2 linked regions of the Rattus norvegicus genome follow. Each later gene encodes a partner of the first gene's protein in a complex. Links are inferred from orthologs where the notes say so. Each region holds a gene or a part of one and is shown in the gene's direction. Other genes may lie near its edges.

Region 1 (3,333 bases):
TGTCTACAAAAACAAAAATAAACAAAAGCTCCCCAAACCCCACACAACACAACACAAGTAGGGGTCACAGGGGTCACATATCAGATAACTTGCATATTAGATATTTACTTTTTTTTTTTTCTGGAGCTGGGGACCGAACCCAGGGCCTTGCGCTTGCTAGGCAAGCGCTCTACCACTGAGCTAAATCCCCAACCCCCTATATTAGATATTTACAATTCATAACAGTAGCAAAGTACAGTTACGAACAGCACTAAAAATAACGTTATGGTTGGGGTCACCACAACGTGAAGAACTGTGTTAAAGGGTCAGTGTTAGGAAGGCTGAGAACCGCTTGCCTAGGTTACCTCTCTCTCCTCTCTGTCCCTCCTTTGTCTGAGGTACAATTTATATTTATGTACTGTTTATACTGCAGTTCAGCAGCTTGTAAGAATCCTCAGAAAGCTGGCTAATGGTGGCACAGGCCTGTGTCCCTGGCACTTAAGAAGCTGATGCAGAGGGGCTGGGGATTTAGCTCAGTGGTAGAGCACTTACCTAGGAAGCGCAAGGCCCTGGGTTCGGTCCCCAGCTCCCAAAAAAAGAACCAAAAAAAAAAAAAAAAAAAAAAAAAGAAGAAGCTGATGCAGGAGGACAATTACTTAGGGCAAGCCTGGACTACAAACCAAGGCTTCATATCAGAAGTAATTACATGTGTGTTTTCTCATGTTCGTTTTCTCTATAGAGTTGAACATCCATCACCATGATGACTTTTGGAATAATTCAGATCTGTCTTAGTCAGGGTTACTATTGCCATGATAAGACACCATGACCAAAGCAAACATGGGGAGGAAAGGGTTTATTTGGCTTCCACTTCTGCAGCTTAATCCATCACTGAAGGAAGCCATGGACAGTGCTGCTGACTGGCTTGCTCTCATGGCTTGCTCAGCCTGCTTCTTAGAGAACCCAGGACCACCAGCCCAGGGATGGCCCCACCCACAGTGGCCCTGCCACATCAATCACTGACTAAGAGAATAGCTTACAGGCTGCCTACAGCTGAGGGTTTCTCAGCTGAGCCTCTCTCCTCCCAGATGACTCTGACTTGTGTGAGGCGATGTAAGACTAACCAGGCCAAGTCCTTGATTTCTTTCCCATTTCTCCTGGTGACTGTGAATCGGCTATTTGTCCCCACATAGCTACTTGCTCAGATACTTGATATAGAGGCTTTAGATGCTATGTGACCTGACGTCACACAGGAAATGTGACATCGGGTGTCGGGATTTCCTGGCTACATGGGGACTGCTGCTTATGGGTGTTGTCCCTGCCTAGAATCTCCCAGTGAGCAGGGGTGGGGATTAAGTGGAGCCCCTGCCCAGCAGTGAGCAAAGATCTGGGCTCATCCAATCTGAGCTCCTCCTATACTTTCCTTCCTTTCACAGGCAGCAGAGCCTCCAAGGCTAAGAAAAAGGCCCCAGTGACCAAGGCAGGCAGGAAGAAGAAAAAGAAGAAGGGCTCAGATGATGAGGCCTTTGAGGACAGTGATGACGGGGACTTTGAGGGCCAGGAGGTAGACTACATGTCTGACGGCTCCAGGTGAGGCAGGGGTGAGGCAGAGGTGAAGCAGGGGCGAGGCAGGCCTGTGGTCACCCAACTTCATACCTTGCCCTTCTCTGCCCTATAGCAGCTCACCGGATGAGGCAGAGGGCAAGCCCAAGGTGCCCCAGCAGGAGGATGGCCCCAAGGGTAGGTGCCCGCTGGGGGCCAGCCGGGGAGTGGGAGTGTGCTCAGCAGTGGGCGCTGCTCACACCTGTGGCCTGTGTCCCAGGTGTGGACGAACAGAGTGAGAGCAGTGAGGAGAGTGAGGAGGAGAAGCCCCCCGAGGAGGACAAGGAGGAGGAGGAAGAGAAGAAGGCCCCTACCCCACAAGAGAAGAAACGCAGGAAAGGTGGGTGAGGAGCACAAGGCTGCAGTGATGGCCAGTGCCCTCCTCTTCCTTTGAACCCGCCTGCACAGGTGATGGTGGGTGGACTCTGTAGGCTCACTGCTTTGGATGTTTGTCCTATGCAGACAGCAGTGATGACTCAGACAGCTCAGAAGAGAGCGACATTGACAGTGAGACCTCCTCTGCGCTCTTCATGGCGGTAAGTCAGAGCTGGGGACTTGAGTGGGATTGACAGTCCAAGCCTTCAGACTCACCCCCCAATCTCTGCAGAAGAAGAAGACACCCCCCAAGAGGGAGCGGAAGCCATCCGGGGGAAGTTCAAAGGGCACCAGCCGGCCAGGAACTCCCAGTGCAGAAGCGGCAAGCACCTCTTCTACCCTGCGGGCCGCGGCCAGCAAGCTGGAACAGGGTGAGTGCCAGAAAAGCCTGTCCACGAGAGCCAGAGCTGCCGGTTCTGCACATCTGCTGTCCCCGACCTGGGCCCCACCTGGGCCTGACATTATTCTCTCCTCCAGGGAAGCGGACAAGTGAGACTCCAGCAGCCAAGCGCCTTCGGATGGACACAGGTCCCCAGAGCCTGTCTGGGAAGTCCACGCCCAGCAGCGGGTATGTTCAGACAGGAGCGGGACCATAGGTAGGATCGGGCTAAAGGGACTCTTGTATGACCCAGCCTCCTTTCTTTCCCCTCAGTGATGTCCAGGTGACAGAGGATGCTGTGCGCCGCTACCTGACCCGGAAGCCCATGACCACGAAGGACCTGCTGAAGAAGTTCCAGACCAAGAAGACGGGGCTGAGCAGCGAGCAGACAGTGAATGTGCTGGCGCAGATTCTCAAGCGCCTCAACCCTGAGCGCAAGATGATTGGGGACAAGATGCACTTCTCCCTCAAAGAGTGATGCCAATAAAGAGAGCAGGCCCAGAGTGCGAGTCATCACTGCCACCCCTGCCCTCCCGGAGGAGCCCTGAGGCATTTGAGCCTCTATTATATATACAGCATTCTGCCTGCATGCCTGAAGAGGCACCAGATTACATTATCAATGATTATAAGCACTGTGTGGTTGCTGGGAGTTGAACTCAGAATCTCTGGAAGAACAGTCCGTGCTCTTTAACCTCTGAGCCATCTCTCTAGTGCAAGCCTCCATTCTTGCAGAGGACACGGCCTTCCTGCCCACTGAGCTCAGTCCATAACCAGGACTTGTCTCCTGTGCAATCTTCACGAGTTTAATTTCATTTTACCTTTGCACTGGCCACACTCACAGCTCCTCACTGGGGGATTCTAGGCAGGCAGGGGCTCCACTCCTGAGCCACTATGCCCTCGTCCCCATTGTAGATCCGGGTGCTGTGTGGGTTTATGGTGGCATGCATGCGTTTGGGAACGCTCAGCTTCTAACAGTCCTCCAGGAGGACAGGTTTGGGATT
Region 2 (4,237 bases), on another chromosome or scaffold:
ACATGCTGTTCAGGAAAGCACCGAGAAATGGTTAAAAAGCTGTCAATACTATATAACCATTTATTTTAACCAATGCATTCCTTCTACAAATATAGATACACAGCAGTTTTGTAAAACTCATTTTATTTACAAACCAAAAGACTACCTATTCTTGGACCAGTGAGATCATGCAGCAGATAAAGGCCCTGAGTTCAATCCCCAGAATCTATGCAAAACTGGAAACAGAGAACAAATTCCACAAAATTATCCTCTAATCTCTTCTGTGCACCTCTGTATATATAATAAAAATACATTTTCTTGTCTTGTAATAAATACTTCTATCAATTTTTAAAAAGATTTATTTTCTGTGTATGTGAAGGGTGTGTATGGTGTGTTTCACCTCCAAAAGAGAGACCAGAAAGGGTTTAGATCCCTTGTAGCTGAAGTCACAGGTGTTTGTGAGCCATCTGGTGTGGGTGCTGGGAAATGAACCCAGGCCCTCTGAAAGCATCAAGTGTTAACCACAGAGCCACCTCTCCAGCCCATTTTTTATTAAGTTACAGGGTTTACTAGTGTTCACTAATGACCCAAAAACTGGAGAAGTGTTTGTCCCCCTTATTGTATAGACTTTTGTTTCTCTTTAAATTGAAAATATCACTTTTTCATTTAGCTTTCTACTTATTCAAATGTCTCAACAGATATGATAAAGGGTTCTCAATATTAAACTTCACCTGCTCAGAATTGTTAAATACACAGGAACAATTTAACAGGATGGTATGTTACCTAAACTGGCATGGATTCTTGGGAATTTGCTAAGTAGCCACGCCTCTTTGTGAATTTTTTTTTTTTTTTTGAGACAAGATCTCACTATGTAGCCCTGGTTTTATATCACTTTGTAAACCAGGCTAGTCTCAAATTCAAAAGATCCACCTGCCTTTGCCTGCCTCGGGCATGCTAGGATTAAAGGCATGCGCCACTACAAACTGATCTCCTTCAACTCTTGATCCTCGCGCTCAGTGATTGATTCATTACCACCACACAGGGGTTAGTCTTTTTTTTTTTTTCTTAAGACACAATTCAATCATTGAAAGAGATTTCAGTATGTTTCTGTAGTCACCTACCCAGCTTTTCAACATAGGACATTCCTTGGATCAGCCACTTAGTTCAGTCCTGCACCTCACTTTCTTCTGAAATGGCTTACTTGACGCTCCCAGGTGCCACGGCAATAGTGTGTTGCCGAAAATAAACACTTTAATCTCCAAGCAGGCAGCACAGAACCACACCTCCAACGACCGGAAGCCGCTAGACTGCGCCCGGACCGCCCCTGTCGCGGGCAGTCTCGCGGGTTTCCCCTAGTGTGATAGCAGGGTGCCTGACCTACCGTCGTCCGCCCGCTTTCTCGGCCCCGCCCATTCACTTGGCCCCACCCCGGAGCCGGATTGGTTCTTTTCCTTAGAAGAGCCCGTCCGTGCGGCTTCCGTCTCCGGCAGTGTCTGTGGCAGTGCGCAGGGCGATGGCGGCAGGTGGAAGCGATCCTCGAGCTGGCGACGTAGAAGAAGATGCTTCCCAGCTCATCTTTCCCAAAGGTAGTATCCGGGACAGTTCGACTCTGAGGTGACATTGTCCTTGAGTTATAGTCGTTATCCGTTCCCTGCCCACAGGGAGCATTCGGGGCCGGCACGGGGGATTGATTGGTCAGCCCGGTACAAATGAACCCTTTCGTAGTTAATTCCCCTACACCCAGCAGTTTTGTTTTTGTGAGAGCGTCTAATTAGGTATCCTAGGCTAGCCTCCACCTTATCACATTCGTGCCCTTTCCTCTTGAGTGCTAGAATTAAAGGCATGCGCCATCGCTCTTGATTTTTAGGGGGAGTTAAGCTATGCCTTTTCCTGTCATGCAGAAGATCTGGAGCAGAGGTCTCATTTCAAAATTGGCAGCCAGTAAAAGCTGAGCTATGGTTCCTCTCACAGTGCTAGTCAAAGCGTTTCAAGATCTGTGGGTCAGAAGTGCTCTCTGCCCTGGCCTCTGAGGAGAGATGCTGTTGCCGTTGGTTTCTGAACCTTCGTTGTAGCTTTTCGAGTTAGGAAGAACGTTTGAGAGCAAGATGGGTTCCGGTTTGGGATGTCTGGTACTTCCTTTTGTCGGATGTGTGCCAGCCTCTGTGCATAGTGCTGTTCCTGCTACTAAACTAGTCTAAACTAGTCACCTTGCCCCAGGAAATCAATCCCCTGTCTCTTCCTACCAACTGTTAGATATAGGAACCCTCTGTACCTGTTTTGTGGGTTCTGAGGATCCTAACTCTGCTTCTTACACTGGAGTGGCAAGTACATTATCCACTTAATCATCTGCCCAGCCCCAGCAAGTGAGGTTATCTTCTGTCTTTTGTGTGTGTTTTTAATTGAGATGGAGAATCTTTGTTTTTAAATTTTTATATATAAGGATTATTTTGCCTGCGTGTAGGTCTGCATGCATGTGAGGTGTCCATAGAAGCCAGATGTACTAATTGGACTTAAAAGATGATTTCGAGCCATCTTGTTGGTGCTGTGTGTGGCAGAACCCTTATCCTCTAGAAGATTAGCCAATGCTCTTAAGTGCGGAGCTGTCGTCTCTCCAGCCCTTATGTCACTGTTGTAAAATTTATTTTTATTTTAATTATGTCTGTGCAGGTATCTGAGGAGGGGAGAGGTGCTATGAGGTGTCTGATGGGGTGCTGAGAATTGAACTTCCTTCGAAAGAGCAGTGCATGCTCATTTCTCTAGCCTTCTGGTTTCGTTTGTTTGGTGTTTTTGAGTCTCTCTGGCTATCTTACAGCTCATCAATAATAGACCAGGCTGGCCTCAAACACAGAGATCATCCTGCCTCTGCCTCCCAAATGCTGAGACTTTGAAAAGAGTATTTTCAGTTCACATTTATTCTTCTTCCAGAGTTCGAAACAGCTGAGACGCTCCTGAACTCTGAAGTTCACATGCTTCTGGAGCACCGAAAGCAGCAGAATGAGAGTGCGGAGGACGAACAGGAGCTTTCAGAGGTTTTCATGAAAACCCTGAACTATACAGCCCGTTTCAGCCGGTTCAAAAACAGAGAGACCATTGCCAGTGTTCGTAGGTGAGTACTGAACATAAGCCCAAAACTAAAATCTACTTATGTATGTGTTATGGGAGTTTGGCTGCTTGTATGTCTGTGCACCATGTGTGTAAACACCCACAGAGGCCAGAATAGGGCGTTAGCTCCCCAGGGCTGGAATTACGGACAGTCGTGAGTCACTGTGTAGGTGCTGGGACTCGAAACCCAAGTCCTCTGAAAGAGCAGCTGGTGCCCTCAGCTGCTGAACCGCATCTCCAGCCCTACAAAACGGTTTTATTATTATAGACTCTCGTGAAAGACAGAGGCTGTAGGATCCAGGAGTTCAAGGGCATCCTTAGGGGCATAGTAGGTTCAAAGCCAGCCTTGATTGCATGAGACGCTGTTTTAAAAATGCTAACAAAGCAGGGGCCGCTGAGATGGCTCAGTGGGTAAAACATGCTTCAGCCAAGAGGTGGTGGTGCACCCCTTTAACCCAGCACTCAGGAGGTAGAGGCAAGCATATCTCTGAGTTCGATGCCAGCCTGGTCTATAGAACAAACAAACAAATGCAACCAAAAGTGCTTTCTGGGTAAGTCTTAGGACCTGAGCTTATATAGAACCCCAGATGCACCCAGAAGCTCTGAGAATGAATGAGAAGTTGCCTTCTAAGTATGTATGCTTACGCACTTACACATACACACAAATGGCTAAATAAACAGACCACACACAAATACTTAGGGGAAAAACAAACAAACAAACAAAAAAACCCTAACTGGGTATGCCTTTAATCCCAGAATTTGAGAGACAGAGACAGGAGAATCTCTGTTTGACTCCAGCCTGGTCTACATAGCAAGTTCCAGGACTACATAGATAGAACCTGTTAAAAAAAAGTAATCAAGGGCTTGAAGCCCCCACCCCCACCCCCAAATTTTGCCTACCAGAAAAAAGGCTCTCAGACTTGACTCAGTCAAAATTTTCTCCACTGCATCACAAATTCTGGGGTTACTAGTATATGCCATCATGCACTCGCTGCCCTCCAGGTACGATTTCTTGTATTCATTTTTATTTTATTATTTTTTTTATTGGATATTTTATGTATTTACATTTCAAGTGTTATCCCCTTTCCAGTTTCCCCTCTGGAACTCCTCTATCCCATCTCTCCAACCCCTGCTTCTACGAGGGTGCTCCCCCACC

The links. Proteins that work in one complex are often made in the same cells at the same time.
Region 2: Gtf2f1 (region 1) and Polr2d share a complex: the UniProt entries of both Homo sapiens proteins name them as parts of the TBP-based Pol II pre-initiation complex. The link is inferred for Rattus norvegicus from reciprocal best matches to the Homo sapiens genes GTF2F1 and POLR2D.

Annotation. Positions count from the first base shown.
Region 1 is NC_086027.1:1,930,533-1,933,865, reverse strand, and holds the end of Gtf2f1 (general transcription factor IIF subunit 1), read left to right. Parts: intron 1-1,412; coding exon 1,413-1,566; intron 1,567-1,654; coding exon 1,655-1,716; intron 1,717-1,798; coding exon 1,799-1,918; intron 1,919-2,040; coding exon 2,041-2,114; intron 2,115-2,185; coding exon 2,186-2,324; intron 2,325-2,430; coding exon 2,431-2,521; intron 2,522-2,605; coding exon 2,606-2,810; 3' UTR 2,811-2,833; downstream 2,834-3,333. UniProt on the Homo sapiens protein: TFIIF is a general transcription initiation factor that binds to RNA polymerase II and helps to recruit it to the initiation complex in collaboration with TFIIB. It promotes transcription elongation.
Region 2 is NC_086036.1:23,691,141-23,695,377, forward strand, and holds the start of Polr2d (DNA-directed RNA polymerase II subunit RPB4), read left to right. Parts: upstream 1-1,437; 5' UTR 1,438-1,492; coding exon 1,493-1,565; intron 1,566-2,904; coding exon 2,905-3,085; intron 3,086-4,237. UniProt on the Homo sapiens protein: Core component of RNA polymerase II (Pol II), a DNA-dependent RNA polymerase which synthesizes mRNA precursors and many functional non-coding RNAs using the four ribonucleoside triphosphates as substrates.